Linked DNA regions of Caenorhabditis elegans. The main gene of each other region encodes a partner of the protein of the gene in region 2 in a complex. Each region holds a gene or a part of one and is shown on either strand. Other genes may lie near its edges. The genes, in order: sin-3 and mrg-1.

Region 1 (9,983 bases), on a different chromosome or scaffold from region 2:
TGGTATCTTTTTGATTTCATAGTGCAAAAGATTTTCTGCGGAATCGAAAATAACTTAAAAATTAAAAAAAAAGCTTTTATCAATGATTTTCTAGCTTTTGAAAAATTTAAGTTATAATTAAATACTGGTTTCAAAACCCAGAAACCAAAAGAAAAACGAATATTTTAAATAGTGTTGAAACCGAAACACAAACGCCTTGCACACATCATTTTCTTGTCTCTTCGTTTGTGCCCCGTTTCCTCTCTATTCTTGTTTTCTTTGTATTTCTTCATCTCACACGCTATTTTTCAATGCCAAGGTTTTTTCAACAGAAAAGCGCTCCGAGATGTGATCGGACAGACAGGAATGCTGGATGGGTTTTATGGCAGTAGATATCGAGAAATGTCTTGGTGAGACTTTCGGATAAATATTTCACAATGAAAACACAAATAAATCTTAAATTCAATTAAATAAAACATGTTTGAAATGGAGAAAATCAAGCTCAGAATAAAATTTTCAAAAAGTGAACCATATGCGCTGCGAGACCCAAAGCAAGTGAATTGTTGTGTGCCTTTAAAACTACCGTAACCTGGAAGTTTCAATTATCGATTTGTTTTTTAGAATAATTGTTTATTTTGATTGATTTCTCGTATTCACATTCATTTTTTAAATATATCTCCGATTTTTTTCAATCTTCACACTCTCAATTTCACATCATAGACCAAGCATCAAAATTAAACAAAAAAATTTAGGCCAAAACCCCAAAAAACTCCCCGCAAAACCGTTTCTTCATTTTTTGATCTATAACCCAGACGCAAAGGAGCACGCGTGCTATCTTGCGGTAAGAACAAACATAGTCAGATAAAAAACGAAGTAAAAGAGAAGAAAAGGTGAGAGACGCCGAGAAACAGACATTGTTCGTCATTCTATATTCGCTCAATAACACGCTCACACATCCAGTCGTTATCTTCGGAAAATATCTGGAAAATAGAGAAATCGATGCCCAACTTTTGAAAATACTCATTTAATTGCGGAACGCTTAGTAATTTTTCTCAAATCTAAGAAATTACTCAAAGTTTCGAAATTGTTTGAATTTCCTTCCACCGATGTTTTCCTCAAATTGATAAATAATTGTATAAAAATGAATAAATTTTTATTAATTTCAGGTCAGAGCACCCTCAAGCTTGAAGAGTTTTACCGAAAATGCTGCTTGTTGATGAAAAATTGGAAAAACGCAGTAGCTCGTCATCACTTGATCGATTTCTTCCTGATCTTCCAGTAAGTCTTGCATTTTAAAAAATCAATAACTTAATATAAATATATAAAAATTTCAAGTAATTTTTGCACGATTTAGCTTAAAACATTTTTTTTAATTATTGAAAATCATTGACAATTCGATAAGCTTGCATTTTCTTCCTTCTCAAAATTTTCTCACGATTAAAAACATGAGATAAAAATAAAATAAAATAAAGTTCCGATGAATCATAAACTTCCCAAAAACGACCGATTTGCATAAAAAAAGGGTATCATTTCATGAAGTTTTATCAGTTTATTGTGGTTATTGTTGCCCTCTGAAAAAACATTCAAATTTTATATCAAAAACATATTTTTAAAAACAAAATTTTAATATTCCAACAGATAAAACTAGTAAATCTCGAATTGTTTAAGGCCAAAGAGTAATCCCTTTTTGGAAATATAAGCCTTTTTAATAGGCTTATATTCCAATTCATGACAAATCAGTTCCGCTTGACTATTCTCTTTTTTTAACTGCCTAGTATTGTTTTGAAATTTAAATTTTCTAGAATTTCAGATTACAAATGTTTTTAACACTCAATAAGTTGAATTTCTCAAAAATCTTTTTTTTCAAATAAATTTATTTCAGCAAAAAGTGAAATCTCGACGGAAAATGCGAAAAATCATGTGTTTTGTGGGACTTTTCGGCATTTCGACAATCTTCTTCATTGCAGTCTCCAGTTGGTTTTTCATGAGGGATTTAGGTGGTTTTAGAGTGCACTTCTTACTAAATTATTAATTTTATCCTAATTTTTAAAACTTTTTTGTTAAAATTTAATTTTTTTCTCTCGAAAGAACGAAACATTTTTGTTCTCCGATTTTTAAATTAAATCGAAAAATCGACATCTTTTTTTATAATTCTGAAAATAAATACACATTGGGACTTTTCAACTTCACTCCGAACGAATCCGACTCACTGATTGATTCAGAAGTGGGCGGAGCAGAGTGTCGATTGGTGGTAGATCTCATTTAGAAGAAATGACATTTTAAAAGTTGAATTTTTTGAATTTTTTTTTCCAAAAATTTCTACTTTGTTAGTTTTTTTAGTTCAAAAACCCTCACTAGCACATCTAACCTCACCTACCCGAATTAGCTCTTGACCCAAAATTCAAGTTAAATCTCATTTTATTTTATTTTTTCAGACATTTCATCGTCGGAAGATGTTCCGCTTTATAATGGAAATATTTACGATCCGGAAAGAGATTCAAAAAGTTTTCGAATTTTGTTAGTTGGTGATACAGGAGGTATAAAATGATTTTAGAAAAAAGTGTATCTCTAGTAATTCAGGAATTCCAATATTGGAGACGACTTGGGCACAAAATGAAGTCAAACAGACAATGGCATCATTAGCAGATGAACATAGTGTTCAAATGATATTAAATATGGGTGATAACATATATTTTACGGGACCCACTGATGAATTTGATCCAAGATTCGAGGTTTGTACTTTTTTTTAACCCAAAATTTTAGTAAATCCCTCTAAATTTAAAATATTTCAGTCACGTTTCGAAAATGTCTACACGAATCCGAGTCTACAAGTTCCATGGCTCACAATAGCCGGAAATCATGATCATTTTGGAAATGTGACCGCCGAGATTGAATATACAAAACATAGTAAAAAGTGGTATTTTCCATCACTTTACTATAAGAAATCAGTAGAATTCAATGGTACTTCTATCGATTTTTTAATGATTGATACAATTTCCTTATGTGGAAATACAAAGGATATTCAAAATGCTGGTTTTATTGAAATGTTACGTAATGAATCACATGATCCACGTGGTCCTGTTAATATAACTGCCGCTGAAGAACAATGGGCATGGTTGGAGAATAACTTAGAAGCAAGCAGGTTAGGAATTTTGGATTTTTTCAAAAAATGACCTCGCCACGACCTTTTTGTAAAATAAAAACAGGTATGCACCTTTAAAGTACTGTAATTTTTAACTCTTGTTGCGGAATTTTCATCTATTTTTAAATTGTTATATTCAAGATTAAAAAAAAAGGCGCACATTTTTGCATTCAACAAAATTTAGTCGTGCCGAGACCGTGCATCTTATGCCTGGCCCAGAAATCGGAAGATTTCGCTTCTGGGTAATGGAAATTTATTTTAAAAATCCTCTTTCAGTGCCCAATACCTAATAATTTCTGGTCATTATCCTGTTCATTCTATGTCATCACATGGTCCAACTGACTGTTTACGTCAACGTTTGGATCCACTTTTAAAACGATTTAATGTGAATGCTTACTTCTCAGGACACGACCATTCGTTGCAGGTTTACCTTAGTAATTTTAATTCAAATTACTTTATAAATGTTTCAGCATTTCACTTTTCCCGGGTATGGAGAGCATATAATTAACTATGTTGTGTCTGGAGCAGCTTCTCGAGCAGATGCATCAACGAAGCATATTAAAGAATTCAGTAGGGATACGTTGAAGTTCAAGTGAAGATTGAAAGCATTAAAAAGTAATTTCAACAAACTTTCAGTTATCCGGAAAAATCATGGTTCTCGTGGTCACCAGTTTCGCAGCTCGGATTCCGTAAAGGCGGCTTAATATATGCAGAATTTGGACATTACAATGCTCGACTCGATTTCTTTGACAAAAGAGGAAAACAGCTTTATTCGACGATCATCCCCACACGTGTGATCCCGACGGATACATCGACACGATCAACTGCCTCACCGTTTGTAGAAATAGGAATGTAATTAATTATTTAAGCAGTTGAAATTCAATTTTTTGAATATTTATTGAACTCCCTCATAATTTCATGTATAATATATCTTGAACGGGTTGAAAATAAAAATTTTATTTATTTGTTGGGCTCTAAATTGTAATATTTAAATTATTTTTTGAGCTCCGCCACCTTTTTAAAGGTTATTCAGCGTACTTCGTTAAATTATATTTCCGGAAAATAAATTCTCTGCGTCTCTTAAGCTGTATGCAAACGCGCTCTGAAAGGCAAAAGCGAGAGAGGAGAGGCAGCAGAGAAACGAGCGCCATTTTCAATACTTCACAGGATTTACGAACAAAATGTTCTTTTTTTTGTTAAAATTTCAAAGTGTAACGTTTTTTAATCATACAAACATTTACTAACAATATTCCTATCGAATTTGAAAACTTTGTAACATTAGAAAAACAAAAATTCTACTGTTTCGTAACAATGTCTCATTTTAATCAAAGACTAAAGTTTTCTCAACATTTGAAAAAGAATTTAAGTAAATTTTCTTTCGATTTTTCAGCTATATACGGTTTTCAAACTTTAAGTTCAATAATACAAAATCAAATGATTGATTTTTAAAAAAATTGAAACTGAACGTTCAGCTTGAAACAGCGTTGGAAATTTAAGGATGTGCTAAAAAAGCAAATCAATAAAGAAACTTATTTTTGTCTCTTTTCTCTATTTTCTAAAACTTCTCACTAAAGGTAACTTTCCAAAGTTAGATTTTCAGAATGTACAATCCACCACCTGGAGGCGGCGGTGGCAACAATGGAGGAGATCAATCTCAACAACAACCTACAAATAATGCGACGTTGTTTTTATTACAAATGATTCAACAATCACAACATCAACAACAGCATCAGAATCAACAACAACAACAACTGGAACTTCAAATACGTGATCAAGAGCGTATTTTGATAGAACAACAAAGAATGCAACATCAACAACAACAAAATCAACTTCTTCAAGGACTCAATCAATTTCCATTTAATCCTTTAGGATTATTTCAAGTACAAGCTGCTGTTCAAGCAGCTCAGGCACAATTTGCACAAAATGCTCAAGGTTCTCCAATTCCTTTTCATATCGGTTCTCCACTTCAACCATCACATTCACCAGCAGCTTCTGCTCTTCAGCAACAATATCTACTACCATCTCATTCACCGGCAATAACCCCATTTGCTAGAAATAGTGAAGCTGCAAGAAATATTGAACAATTTATTGCACAGGAAGAGGCTGCAAATGTACCAAGGGCCAACAGTCAACAACAATCTCCATTGATTCGTCCGATTCCACAGCAACAAGCTTTGAATATTCAAAATCTCACATCGACTCAACAGGCACAACAAATCCTGGCCCATCATCGTCAGGTTCCCGTTCAACAAGTACAGCATCAGCAGCATATTCCCGTAAATATTTATTTGATTGAAAATTAAAAAATGTCTGAAAATTGGAAGGTCTGAACCTTTCTTTATAGAAAATTATATTTTAAAAAGTTAGAAAGTACTGTAGCGCCAAACAATTTGTCCTTCATTTCTGCTTTCCCGAAATTCGCAAACCTAATATTTCTCAATTGAGCTCAAAAAATAACAGAATTACTTTTGTTTTTCAGCATTTCGTAAGTTTTTTGAAGAAAATGTGTAAAAATTTGAAGTTTAAGACTGTTTTCAAATATTAGATGATGATATTTTATCAATGAAATGCATGTCTGAACTAAAAAAATTTATAGCAATTGACAATTTTATATTTACGTCAATTTAACAATTCATTCCGAAAACCAATAAATCTATTTTTCAGACTCCTCCACTAGCCCTTCCAATTGCTCAACAAGGACCAATTTCTAATGAAGTTCCTTCAGTTCCTCCAGTTGTTCCAGCAACTTCTGCAGGGTGTCCTCAACGTGAGCCTCGTCAACAACAAGGTGGCCGACGACAAAATCGTCCAGGTCGTCGAAAGAAACCAGAAGGTCCACCACGTGTTGATGAAGCTCTCGCCTATCTGAGAGTTATTAAAAGTACTTTCTCATCTGATGTACCCGTTTATCATCGATTTTTGGAAATTATGAAGGATTTTCGTGCTCAGAGGTAATTCTGAAAATTTGAATTTTATTTTTGAAGGTTGAAAATCAAAAAAAATTGTTTTGGTTTTTCCGGGAAAACAAATATTCTTAGATTTACAAAAAACTTTAAAAAAACATTTGTTTTGTTCAAACATAAGATAACATAATTTACTTGAAAAGGCAAAAAATTTCAAGCTATCTTCCGAAATATCGTAAAACCGACACATTTGATGCGGATTAAATTTTGCTTTATTTAAATCCAAAAAAAAAAACAAATATCTGTCTTTTTTGCAGAATTGAAACACCTGATGTGATTGAACAAGTAGCAGAACTTTTATATGATTCACCGGAACTTGTTCTTGGATTCAATACTTTTCTGCCAACTGGATATCGTATCACATTGACTCCAGATCGAAAATATGTTTTTTCTTCGCCACAAATGCAGCCAAGGGTTCGTTTGGATATTTAGATTATACTAAAAATCTGATTTGAAAATAGTTTTAAAAATCCAATATCCACACAATATTGTTTTGCCTCGAAATTAAATTACAAAAAATTTGAAGGTTCTGCTATCGCCTGACGAACGCCGAGCCCGTGCAATTGAAGCTGGAGCACAAGCTGTAGGAGCAATTGAGTTGGGTTCTCAAGAAGGAATATCAAAAGACGAAGACCGTACAATTGAAGATGAAGATATGGATAAAAGTAAAGAAAAAGATGATGTAGATGGAATTGATGATGAAGATGATGAAGAATCTGGAATAGAAGATAAAAATAATGAAGAAATGATGGAAGAAGATAATCATTTGATTGAAGAAATTATTTGTGATGATAGAAAGAAGGATGATTGTGAAGATTCACAACAAGAGGTTTGTGTTGTTTGTTTGAAAACAAAAAACTTGAAGGTTTTTAAAATATTTGATTTTAAACATATCTGAAATCTTCTTTGATAAATTTTAAAAAAATACATACCAACGTTTTCAGATTTTTCTTCAAAAATAAAAATCTTCTAAAATTTTTACTTTTCTGTATTGCCTTCACTGATAGTTGCTGGTTTTCCCAGTTCTTCAACGATGGGCGATTCTCTTGCTCGTTTGAGCTCTATATCTTTCTTTGTCCTGGAGTGTTTACTGTAGCGAAACATTGTTGTCTTTTCAGTACATTTTCTTAGCTATTTATTATTGTATATCAAACTTCTGCCTTCACAAGCCATAATTGATCTAGAAAACATGTAAGTGCCATGTGAAAAATTTAAAAATCGTTTTCAGATCGAAATGTCAAGTGAATTGGCTGCTCATACACTGAACATAATCGAACTTCTCAAAAAATCGTTTCTGGCTCGCCCGACGAAACTTGTTGATTTCATGACGTTCATTGACTTCTTCATGAGTGATCAACAATATAAAAAAGATATGGAAAAATTGAGAAAAGATGATGAGGATGACGAGATTGAAGAAAATGAGAAAATCGAAGTTGATGATGTTCCAGGACCATCCAATGCACCACAAGAAATCAAAAAACCTGATGATATTGAGAAAAAAGATTCATCGAAAAATCTGCAAATTGAGGAATCGTGCTCAGATTATCTTGTCTCAATGCTTGCTAATTGTTGTATTGGAGAACCTGATCTTCTTGCAGCAACTATTGATTTTCTTCCATATCTTGGGAAACTTCTTGTTAATGGATCTGATGCGATAGCATTGGTGAGATAATGTATCCTATATATGATTTTTCATAATAATTAAAAAATATTCTGAAATTCCGAAATACCAAATGAAACACGAAAAAGCGAGGAATAATGAAAAACCACAACTTTCCAAATTCAAGAATTTTTCGTTTTTTTGCATGATTTTTGAATTTCAGAATATTTGCAGTATTCTATAGAAAATTTCCCATTCACGAAATTGCGAAAATTTAAAATTTAAAATAGAAATATCTAAAACAATTCAAGTGAACTATCTAATTTAATTTTCAGTTTTTAATATTTAAATATATTTTGAAATAATTAATTAGAAAAGTAGACTTGATATTTGTTCATCGTCGAAAAATATCATAGATCAAAAAAAAATCTCAATAATCATGCAATTTGCCCTTGATCTACCAACCAGTTTTTGTAAACAAAACGCCTTTTTCGTTTTTGAAAAAAAAAACTATCATTGCAAATCAATATTTTTAAACCTTTTTTCTTTTCCAGAAAATCAAAACAATTCTCCATTTCTCCGCCACCAACGATCGTAACGATATTCCACCTGTAAATCGTGTAAATCCATCCGATGTCGACATGGATTTAGTGAAACAAATGGAAAAATGCAAAATGGGGACTAAAAAGGTTTGCTACTCCTTTTAAAATTAAATAAAATGATTAAAAATTTCAGAATGAAAAACTGAAACTAAAAGTTGCTGGGCAAGGCGATGAAGGAGCAACCGTGGAATTGATGATACTCAAGAAATCATACAGAATTCTTTATGAAAGGGTTTGTTTTAACGGTGGAGTAGCGTAAATGGGGATTTCGATTCAAAATCCAAATTTGTCAATAAAATCGCCGAAGACAAAAATATTAACGGTAATCGGCGATCGCCGATCGCCGTGTTAAAAATTATTATCGGAAAAAGTGTAGAAAAATTACGTCACACATGTATTTAAATACTTGAAAACAGGTGTGACGTAATTTTTCTACACTTTTTAATTTTCCAACACTACTTGAATAACCCCATAACCCATTAAAACAAAATCCAATTCAAGCCACTCGCCCTCTAAAAGTTTTTATCATTTTGCTTATTCAATAAACTTTATTTTCAGCTAAAAAGTCGAACAACACCGAATCAACTGTCTCACCTGATGGTTTTGATAAATGCCTACGCAAATTTGGATATAACCCGAGAACAATTGATTAGTGAACTTCCAAAGATCATGGGAACATCTGGTTCTGATCTTGAAATGATTATTCTCCAATTATTGGGTGCAGAAAAAGAACCAAAAAATCGACCAGAGAATGATATGGATGCAGTTATGAGAAAAGATTTACCTGCCATTCAACCAAAACGAGGTCTTCGTGATCAAAAAATGTTGCAACAAGTGAAGAATGTTGAAGCAGCAACAGTGTGTACACTAGGTCCTAGTTATCGATTTATGAAGGATACGAAAGCAACTGATTGTAGTGGACGTGTTGAGCTGGATGATGATCTCAAAGGAGTATGGAAAATTACACAAATTTAAAAATTTTATTTGAATGATATTTTCAGGTTCTCAATGATACGTGGACATCAATACCATCATGGTCATCTGAAGATACTGGTAGTCAGGCGATTAAGAAATCGAATTTGGAAGAATTTCATTTCAAAACCGAGGATGAACGTTATGAGGTTTGTTTTTTTTCGATGTGAAGACAATTTAACAAATATTCAATTAACAAGATTATTTAAAATTTCAGCTTGATATTATTGTTGATTCAAATCGAACTGTCATCGAACAATTGTCAAAAACACTTCGAGATTACGAGGCGATGAGTGATGAAGATAAGAAGTCGTTCAAGTAAGTATTCAGATATTATATCTACAAAAATACCACATAAAATTGAAAAAAAAAATTATCGAGGACCTCTTAGAAAGGGATTCTGCTACACCGAAATTCTCTGTCCGAACTTCCGAAAATTATTTAGAAAATATCAATTGTTTTTTGAAAACGAAACCGAAAATTTGTTTTCATTGTAAAAAGTGATTTTCAGATTGGACAAATGGCTCAATGCTTCATCTCGATCCACCACAATTCGTGTTCTAGCAAAAGTCTTCACAAACTCTGCTCAAGATTTCATTGATGCTGCACAAAAGAATCCACTTGTAGGTTTACGACGAATTCTTGAAAGTCTGAAGGAGAAAGACTTGCTGTGGAGTCGATTCCAACAGGATACTAACAGGTTTTTTACTTAATTTCCCTCAAAA
Region 2 (10,543 bases):
GAAGTATGCTTAGGATCGTTATCCTGCTGAAACACGAAGCCACGGCCCACATTTTGAAGTGCCCAGGGTCGCATTGTAGTTTCCAAGATGTTTTCGTATTGAAAACGATCCATAATGCTTTGGATTCTCCTTAGTGGGCCCATGGAAGTGCTGGTGAAGCACCCCCACACCATGACGCTCCCACCTCCATGCTTAACGGTTGGGCATTGATACTTTGGAGAGTACCTAGAGCCAACAGGACGACGTACCCAGGAATTTCCATCACTCCCGAACAAATTGAACTTGCTTTCGTCAGACCAGATGTGTTTAGCCCATTCCTGACGTCCCCAACGAAGATGCGCTTTTGCCCACGCAACTCGAGCCATGCGATTTTTCTTACTGATGAACGGTTTCTTGACTGGCTTTCGTCCGTGTAGTCCTGCTTGCTGTAAACGTCGACGAACAGTTCGTTTACTTGGTACAGGTTCATTTGGAGAACTTATAATCATTTGAATATCCGTGGCGGTCCTATGCGGATCTTCTCTTGCTGATCGGAGGATGTTGCGATCCATCCTATGGGTTGTCACTCGAGGCCTGCCGGGCGAGATTCTCAAAGCGACGGATTTCTAAACATTTATTATTAAAAAATAATATTTTTCGAACTCACCTCAGTTTGGTACTTCTTGATTACTTTCCAAATAGTCGACGGAGAACGTTGAATTTGCAGCGCGAGCATTTTCGTGGGTATTCCTTGTTCGAAGCCAGCTACAATGGCTTTCTTGACGTCCAAGGAAAGATTTTTACACCCAACAGATTTTACCATACCTTAAAAATAATTTATCAACCAAACAAATCCAGTGCAACAAAAAGAGTGCGTTTTATTGATAATTCAAAAAAAATAATGAAAATTGGAAAAACGAAAAAATCAAAAAATTGAAATAAAATTCAGAAAAAATCGATAATCATGTAATGTTTGGTCCGCAAATTTGCGTAACATTTCGCTTTATGCACACGGAAAAATTCAAGTCAAATGGATGCTTGAGAAAAAAGTTACACACAAAAAACCAAAAGTGGATATCTTTTTGGCCAGCACTGTATAAGGCTTAGGTCGTCTTCCGGGCAGGCACAAAGGTTGCCAATTTTTGTGTGTTTACAAAAATCACTCAGAAAATCGCATTTTTTTTACGGCTATAGAATTGCAATGTCAGGCTGCCCCATTGCGGCTTGATCTACAAAAAATGCGGGAATATACTCTAAATTCCCGCAATTCTCGGAGATCAAACCTTATACTTGAGTTTTCAGAGAAAAGAAGCTGGACAAGTCGTCGTGGCAACACCGGTAAAAAGATAATAAACCAATTCAAAACATGGATAATTAATTTCAGTACATGTATTACGAGAAAGTTGCTCCATCATTCAAACCCTACCAGGAATATTGTCCAAGATGCAGAGTGAGTGCTCTACTTCACAAGCTTATATCTCGGTTGTCTTTAGTTTTATTTAAACAATTTTAACTAACAAAATATGCAGAAAATATTTCTCTATATTTTCTCAGTGAAAAATTTTTTGATAAAACCCAAGCCAACCGAGATATAAGCCCTCAAAGTAGACACATTTTCAAACAACAATTTTTTCAGTGTACCGTTGTGACAGTTGTCGAATACGAAATGGGATGTTTCGCTTGGCTTATTATCATATTGATTATCTTCGTCGCCTTTTTCCTCATCTACATCCTTTGTTGCATTGATATCCGTGACGCAATTCATCATTGTCCGAACTGTGGAATGGTCCTGTCGCGTAAAAAGAGAGGATAATTTTTGAGAATCTCAACAAGTGAAAGCCCAATTCGTGTACTCGTTTAAATTGCACTCAATCACTTATAACGTTCGGAATAAATATTTTGTCGGGGTTTCTTGGCGGGGTAAACCACCTCGTCCCAGACTTGTTGTTTTACTGTGCGTCGCGTGTCGCGTCGCGGTTCTGTTCTCGGGAATACTAGTTCGGTGCACCATGACCTCATCAGTCGTGTCGAGATTTTTTAAATAATTGGAAATTTTAAAATTTCTATTTTTCTTCATTTTAGACATCAAATTTTCCTGAGTTTGTTAAGCACGCCGAATTTGCCGACCTCGGCAAATTTTGAATTTTGGCCACTTTTAACATCATCCAGCAGTACATGCTGGTGGCCTGCAATGCTATCGTGTTTCGTTCAGACCCAAAAATCGGGGATCAGGGCCACCCTCTTACTCTTAGAAACTTTAGGCCACTTCTTTCCCTACTACCAGCAGAGCAGGCCTTCAATGAGACTACGTATGCTTTTGGAAAGACCAGTCTATCCAGATTGAGGACCGCAGGCCCGAATACACTTAGAAAAAACCAAGGAATGATATTATCTTCGAATGACTATGGCTCAGTCAATTTTGGTTCAAAACAATCCGAATTTTCCCCAGTTTTCCAACTTAATTTTCTGCAAAGCGTAGCGCGTTAGGTGCGATAGTCCTTGTAAAGTAAAAAGATTGAACCAAAAAGTTGAACAGTTAGAAATTTAAATTTTCGAAGCTTTACCCGAATTCCCAATTTGTTTCAGTTTATGGTAAAACCTTTCACTAAACTCATGCCACTGTGAACTGTTGGGAAGATCCCACCGAATCCTACAATGTAACAATCACTGTAAAGCAAAAAGAGTGAACCCAAAATTTGAACTGTTTTTTCAAAAACTGGAGATATTTTAATTCTCGCAGTTTTTCTCAATTTTCCAATTTGTTTTTCAGTTCATGGTAAACACATTTTACTAAACTCATGCCGTCGTAGACAGTTGGACAAGTCCACAGAATCTACAATGTAACAATCACTGTAAAGCAAAAAGAGTGAACCCAAAATTTGAACTGTTTTTTCAAAAACTGGAGATATTTTAATTCTCGCAGTTTTTCCCAATTTTTCAATTTGTTTCAGTTCATGGAACAACCTTTTTTACTAACAATGTACAAAAGAAGAAGAGGGGCAGACAGCTCAGTCGGTAGTGGTGGCCGCTAGCAATCTTGAGGCCATGAGATCAAGATTGGATCAAGATCTATCATGAGATCAAGATCTATTGGGAAGTAGAGTAATCAACGACTGGACTATCGGCCATATTCCCCGGCTAGGACGTGGCTTAAATTACAGCCCAGTGGGATCATCACCAGGCAATGTACCTGACTCCCAGATCCGCAGTGCATAGCACTTGAAGAACGGATTGTCCTTTTAATCTTTCAAAAAGAATCGAAGGATCTCCCGTGTGGTTGTGGGGACAATGAGAGGGAGGCTTAGATCACCACCTAACCTGTGGTAGATCGCAGCCCTATCCACAAAGAAAATCTGTGGACGTCCTCAAAGAAGGCCGCCCGTGCCCTCGGACTGGCCAACAAACTTAAAGGGTGGAGAGGAACACTAATGACGAGCGACTGAAAATGGCGCTAGCGTCACGTTTTCGCACATTAACAACAAAGAAGCCCACGGCCCGAAAAAAGCCCAAGCAGCCCACGGCTTAAATTGCAGACCAATTACCATACTACGAGTGCTCCTTTTCGCTCCATGAGTCGTCGCCGCTGTCGTCCTTCCGTCCAACCTTCGTCCAACAGTCCCTCCGTCCATCCGTTCAATCAATTTTTGCTGGAGTATCTAACGCATCTGAAATTGAAAAATATTAATATTTGATTTCAAAAGCCCACGGCCCAAGAGAAGCCCGAGAAGCCCAAGAAGTCCACGGCTTAAATTGCAGACCAATTACCTTCCTATGAGTGCTCCTTTTTGCTCCATGTGTCATCGTCGATGCCACCCATCCGTCCCGTGCTGGAGGATCCAACGCGTCTGAAATTGAAAAATATTATTTATATTTTACTTTTTTAAAGCAAAAATGGAAGACGCATAGCAGAAAAAAATCAATCAATATTTTGAAAAACGGGGAAAAATGCCCAGAAAATTTTACAATTTCTCTAGCCAGAAAAAAATTGGAAATTGTTATTGTTTTAAACTACAGTAATCCTACAAAATTCCTACAGTACTATTACGGGAGCACTACAAAATTTTGAGAATGCGTATTGTGCAACATTTATGACGCGCAAAATATCTCGTAACGAAAACTACAGTAATTATTTAAATGACTACTGTAGCATTTGTGTCGATTCACGGGCTCAATTTTCGTAATGTTATAAACACGTGTGCGCCTTCAAATAAAAAACAACATTTTGTTGACGCGTTTTAAAACATCGAAAAAAATTGAAAGAAACAAAAGTTTGTAACTACAGTACTCCTTAAAGGCGCACACCTTTTCGCTTCTCAGAAAAACTTGCGTCGTTTCGAAACCCTATACTTTAATCTTAAAATCGATAAAAACGCGAAGTTTTGCGGTGAAACATTTGTCAACGTGCAACTCGAAAAGAAAAAATCACGAAAAATCAGAAAATCCATTCTGTGAGAAAAAAAAAACAGCCGTACTCCAAGCCACCCATTGGAAAAAATGACAAAAAATGCAAAACAATTCCTCACCTGAACAGAGAAAAAATGTCGCGTTGAATGAGAGAGTGGGACGAAAAAGGAGTAGATCAAAAAATAAATGTTTGTGGCAGGTCTGGAATCTTTCGAATACTCGTTTTAAAATCATTTTAAACACTTTTAAATCATTAAAATTAGATTTTAATTAATCAATTTATTAAAATATCAGTTGTGGTAAAATTTAACTGCGCCATCTGATAAACTGATTTAAGATTGTATTCGCTGCCGCTGAATTAAATGTTTTGCGCGTCAATTAAAATGCCTTGTACGCGAATGCGCGTCGCCTGCAAACACAAACAAAATGCTCCTAAAACTGGCTATTCTTGCCAAAATCTTCGACTGCGTTGAGATGATTTCGGCGTTTCTTTTTTTTGCGAAAATTCGGTCATGTAGAAAGTGTAGAAATACTTTGCTAAATATTTTTGATATTTTAGTCGAAAAATTGTATCAAAGAAAATGACCGAATTTTCCCAAAAAAAAGCGGCTGAGCGAGAGGAAACCCTTTTGGGATGTTTTTTTTTCTTTGAGACTCAAAAATTTCTTTTCAAAAAAAGACAACTTCTTGTAATTTTTGAGAATGCGTATTGAACAACATATCCGACGCGCAAAATATCTTGTAGCAAAAACTACAGTAATATGACTACTGTAGTGTCGATTTACGGACCCGGATTTTTGAATTGTTTGAATAGTGATAGAAGAAAATTAAATATCGCTGTCACTATTTAAAAATAAATTCAATTCGAAAATCGAGCCCGTAAATCGACAAGAATTTTCGCTACGAGATATTTTGCGGGTCAGTTATGTTGTTCAATAAGCATTCTCAATATTTAACCATCTTAATCATGAAACTTCAAAATCGGAAGAAAAAAGTATATTCTAATATTCAAAAAAATCTTCAGTCTTCCTCTTCTTTCCAGTCTGGCACGTGGAATGCGAGATGGAATAGTTTTGGGGGCACGCAGACATTATATCAAATCTCGATAGGCTAAAAATGGCGGGGAGTTGGAAGAGAAGAAGAATCTGGAAAAATATGAATGTGGGGGGCTATTGAAAAGAAAATGAGAATCATATTCATTAGAATAGTTGGGAAACAACTAAACGGAAAATTGAACGATAATGGAATGCGAAATGTGGAAGTCGTCAGAAAACGTGAGATTAACGTGAACAAAATATGGATCTCCACGATTTCACAAAAACATAATGGTGGGGCTAGCTTTGGAAAATAATGAACAATGTATAAAATTATTGAAGTTATATCGGTGTATTGAAGATCGTCTGGGATGGAACACATGATGAAGGAGATCAGTCTATTGATTCGCTCCAACTCCGTCGTCGGCGGCGAGAGATCGGCGATAGTAGTCGTTGGAGGCACCTTGATAATCAGACGATCCTCTGTAGTACTTCCCGTGATTCTTATTCAGGAACACAATCAAATCGTGAACTCCAATCATGATGCGCTGAAAATTGATTTATTTTATTTTTGGAGCATGGGACTACGCTCAGTGGGGAAATTGCTTTAAAACACGCCTATGGTACCACAATGACCGAATATCATGATTAAAAAAATTCAAAAAAAAATTTCTAGATTTTATATGATTTTTCGAAAATTGAAAAAATCTCAGTTTTCACCTAATTATTTTTGAATTACCGTCAATTGGATTTGTTCGATGGAGCGCGCTTGCATTATTTTCATTAATTAATTTTATTTTTTCTCGTTATTTGGCTGGTTTTCTTCATTTTCTATGCTTTTAAAAAGGACAAATGCGAAATGTTTGTTAAAAAGTAATTGAAAATGAGTAAAACTGTGAAATATACTAATCTCAGGCTTGTCGGAACTCAGAATATCACAGTTTTACGCATTTTCAATTACTTTTTAACAAACATTTCGCATTTGTCCTATTTATTTCTTTCATTTTCCGAGGAAAAAACATAGAAAATGAAGAAAACCAGTCAAATAACGAGAAAAAATAAAATTAATTAATGAAAATAATGCAAGCTCGCTCCATCGAACAAATCCAATTGACGGTAATTCAAAAATAATTAGGTGAAAACTGAGATTTTTCCAATTTTCAAAAAATCATATAAAATTTATAAAATTTTTTTGAATTTTTTATCATGATATTCTGTCATTGTGGTCCCATAGGCGTGTTTTAAAGCAATTTCGGGCTCCTGAATTCACGGAAAATCGTTTTTTTTTGCTATTTTTTATTTATATTAATGTTGAGAAAAATGATACGCATTGAAAAAATGTAAATTTTGGAAATTTGGCCTCAAACTGGATCGAAACCGTCAGTTTTTCGATTTCAGGATCGTAAAATATTCAATTTTGTGGAGAAAACGCAGATTCACAAAAAAAAATTGATTTTTAAAATTAAACAAGGCAATTTCCCCATTTTTCAATTTTAAAAATCAATGTTTTGTGAATCTGCTTATTCCCTACAAAATGGGATTTTTTATGATCCTGAAATCGAGAAAATTGACGGTTTCGATCCAATTTTCGGCCTAATTTTTCCAAATTTTACACCTTTTCGCCAAAAAAAAACAGATTCCGTGTGGAAACCAGATTCAGGAGACGCTCCAGGAGTTGAACTTCGAACATACGTTAATAACATGATCATTCCATTGAGTGAGCTTCAGGTAGTCCGGGAGCTTTGCGAGCATTCTCAAGAAATGCACAATTCCGTACTCTTGAGATGGACGGAATCCACTATCCTGCAGGGCGGTCGGGTTTGTGATGTCGATTCCCTTCTCCATAGCTCGCTTTTTGACAAGGTCATTGTACTGTGGCCGCTCGAACTTATAGAGCAGTTGGTAGCTGGAACTAAACAATTCATCCTTACATCGTAACTGTTTCAAGTGGGATTGGGGCGACTATTCTACGAAGCGGAGGGCATTATGTGTACTCACTGCTACTTTTATCGAACGAGGGACGAGGAAAAGCGGTTTCTAGGCCATGGCCGAGGGGCCGACAAGACTTAGCGGCAATTTATCTTGCTTTGTTTTCCGCGTGTTTTCTTTTGTTTTTCAAAAAAATTTTCCGTTTTTTCTTATTAAAACTAAATAAAAGATAAATAAATATTTTTGTAGATGCCAAAACAATTTCCAGGTGAAAAAATTGTGTATTCAGTCGGCAAGAAGCGGTGAAAGTGGTCAATGTTATATGATGGATTACGGTAATACTAAACCTAATCGTTTTTCTGAAACATGGCATTTATTCTGCTTAGAGACTGAAACTATTCGATTTTCATAACGAGACCGCTCAAAAAGTTCTGAGATTTTTGCACAAAAAGTTGAATTTTGAAAATCTCAAATCTTTTTCAGCGGTCTCGTTATGATGAAAATCGGGTAGTTTCAGTCTCTAAGCAGAATATATACCATGTTTCAGAAAAGGTTTAGATTTAGTATTCCCGTAATCCATCATATAACATTGAGCACTTTCACCGCTACTTGCCGACTGAATACATAATTTTTTCACTTGGAAATTGTTTTGGCATCTGCAAAAATATTTATTTATCTTTTATTTAGTTTTAATAAGAAAAAAACGGGAAAAGTCTATGAAAAATTAAAGAAAACACGCGGAAAACAAAGCAAGATAAATGGCCGCTGAAACTTGTCGGCCCCTCGGCCATGGGCTAGAAACCGCTTTTCCTCGTCCCTCGTTCGAAAAAAGTTGCAGTGGTACTAAACATTGGGCTACGTGCAATTTGCATGCATCTGTTTAACATATTCGAATTAACCAACCCCAAAGTGACATTAAAATAGTCGACGAGTCCACGCGCGGTGCAAATCAGAGCCAAATTCGTGATTTTTATATCAGCTTCCTCGTATTCGATGAGCAGATCATCGACCGTTCTCATTTGCTCATTACTGACCGGAATGGTTTTGATGTACTGAAAATGTTGGATTTGAAAATCGGAAAAAATGATATTTTAATTTTTTTTATGCTTACGTCCTCGATGATTTGATCAACTGAATACTCGTGTGGCACGATGTTTATGAAATAACGGCAGACAAGATCGTAGTCATCGATCAGGATCTTTCTCAGTGGCTTCGGAAGCTCGACCTTCATATCGTCGGCGGTCATAACCGGCGCAATTGTCACCGATTTCGCCTTTTTTCCCTTCGACGTCCCCGGAGTGTCATCACGATCGTCTCGTGGTGCTTCAGCCGCAAGACTTTTCTTCTTCGGCTTCAATGCAGTTGTTGGCAGCTCTGCGTTGTGTTTCTCTGCATACTCCGAGGCTGTTCCCTTGAAAATGCGGTCTTTCTCCTCGCCGACTGGGATTTTCTCATCGTATCGATTGTTCCAGCCCTTGAAGTGAACGCAGTAGAGTTCCTTGCCATCGCTGTTGGTTTTGATATCAGTAATTTTGGCATCGTATGGTTTGCCTTTGTAGATGCACGCGACGTTCTCGCCGACTTCGAAGTTCTTCTTTGAAGACATCTGAAGGAATTAAAGAAATTAATCGATTAATTGGTGTTTTAAGCGAGTTTTAGCAGCAATTCTAGCCAATGATGTATATTTGAACGATTTTTAATCAAAAAATAGATTAAAAATATCGAAAATTCGATAAATTTATCGATAAAAACAAAAAAAAAGCTTTTCTCAAAGCTCAACGGCATTTTCGCAATTCAAACCCCCCTGCGGCGCGGTTTTCTAAGCAAATGCAATAGCGCCGCGCACGAAAAAGTACGCAAACACCACGACGCAATAATGCAGACTTCCAATTTTGAGACGTCACCACTAGCTTTTTGCTCATTTCTTTTGGGTTTTTTTGGATTTCTATTCAATTTTTATTCTCAAATATATTAATTTTCAGATGACGGACGAGCCGGTGAAAGTTGTGAACAAATGGGACGGTCCAACAGTGAAGAATGCCCTTGATGAAGTCGTCAAAAAGGTTTGCTCTCCGAAACTCCAAAATTAAAATTAAAATTAAAATCTTTCGTTTCAGATTCTGAACGACAAAGTCGGATGGACGGAATCGCATAATCTAATGAATCTGCGTCTTCTCATCTCATTCATCGGCGTCGCGTTCTCCGCGTTCGCCTGCGGCTACGACTACTACGAGCCGTTCCCAAAGTCGAAAATCGTGCTCGCCGTGTGCTCGGTTTCCTACTTCATATGCATGGGAATTCTTCAAATGTATCAGTGGTACGTCGAGAAGGACTGCATCTACGAGGCCACCGAAGTCGACGGAAAACAATCGAGAAAATGGGCGTGGAGCTCGGAGATCAAGGCTCACGACGATAAGTACACGCTGTCGGCCGAGTTTAAGAAGGAAGGACGCTCTGGACAGGGAAAAATCACGAAATCTATCGGAGCTTATATCGATAACGATGGAGAGATCATCGTGCCACTTGTGAAGAAGGAGGTCGACGACTTGTACAACCGCTTGATTCGTAGCGAACAATAATTTATTTAATTTATCTGGTTTTCTTGGCCTAATTTATTTCCCCTTTTCTTCGCTTTTCATGGGTGCCCCTTTCTCTCTCCATCTATCCTGTTTCTTGTCTGTCAAAAGCTAATATTTCCAGCATTTTATACAATATGAACTTGTCAATTTCGGTAAGAATTCATTGTACAAATAGCTTGAAAAGAACAATTAACAAACACAAAATTTTAGCAATTTAACAATTTATTAGCAGATCCCATCTACTTCTTCATCTCGAGCATCTCTGCGTACTTCGCGGCCGAGCCCTTGAACAATCGACCCTGCTCCTCGCCGACTGGAATTTTCTCATCGTAACGGCTGTTCCATCCTTTGAAGTGAACGCAGTAAAAATCCTTCCCATCAGTGTCGGTTATGATGTCAACGATGTACGCGTCATATGGCTTTCCGTTCTGTGTGCACGTGACTTGCTCACCGATTATGAATTGTTCTCTACGTTTTCCGACTAGCCGCGGAGCGTTCTCTTTCGTCGCTTGAGGCTCTGTGGATTTTTCATGGTTTCTAGCGGACTGAAAATGCAAAATTTATTATTTAAAGCTTCAATATTCTCTGAGCAGTACCTTGCGCATTGTGACAACTGGA

What was found.
Region 1: mrg-1 (region 2) and sin-3 share a complex: the UniProt entries of both Caenorhabditis elegans proteins name them as parts of the SIN3S complex.

Annotation. Positions count from the first base shown.
Region 1 is NC_003279.8:8,412,110-8,422,092, forward strand, and holds the start of sin-3 (Paired amphipathic helix protein sin-3), read left to right. Parts: upstream 1-4,721; 5' UTR 4,722-4,722; coding exon 4,723-5,397; intron 5,398-5,785; coding exon 5,786-6,072; intron 6,073-6,341; coding exon 6,342-6,498; intron 6,499-6,610; coding exon 6,611-6,913; intron 6,914-7,312; coding exon 7,313-7,747; intron 7,748-8,238; coding exon 8,239-8,373; intron 8,374-8,419; coding exon 8,420-8,518; intron 8,519-8,844; coding exon 8,845-9,237; intron 9,238-9,287; coding exon 9,288-9,407; intron 9,408-9,475; coding exon 9,476-9,576; intron 9,577-9,769; coding exon 9,770-9,958; intron 9,959-9,983. Other genes in the region: F02E9.7 (Tartrate-resistant acid phosphatase type 5), read left to right, coding at 1,183-1,257, 1,862-1,952, 2,415-2,516, 2,560-2,711, 2,772-3,121, 3,398-3,545, 3,592-3,713, 3,758-3,977. UniProt on the Caenorhabditis elegans protein: Probable transcriptional repressor required for the deposition of dimethylated 'Lys-9' of histone H3 (H3K9me2) on asynapsed chromosome pairs (both autosomes and sex chromosomes) during meiosis, but this does not seem to solely affect the transcriptional status.
Region 2 is NC_003281.10:12,865,703-12,876,245, forward strand, and holds mrg-1 (Mortality factor related protein 1), read right to left. Parts: upstream 8,953-10,543; coding exon 8,458-8,952; intron 8,399-8,457; coding exon 8,250-8,398; intron 7,330-8,249; coding exon 7,110-7,329; intron 5,966-7,109; coding exon 5,816-5,965; 3' UTR 5,572-5,815; downstream 1-5,571. Other genes in the region: Y37D8A.8 (LITAF domain-containing protein), read left to right, coding at 1,282-1,317, 1,364-1,429, 1,616-1,792; spcs-2 (Signal peptidase complex subunit 2), read left to right, coding at 9,329-9,409, 9,464-9,925; cec-7 (Chromo domain-containing protein), read right to left, coding at 10,165-10,470, 10,522-10,543. UniProt on the Caenorhabditis elegans protein: Protein involved in the remodeling of chromatin thereby regulating various processes including transcription, chromosome synapsis and genome integrity.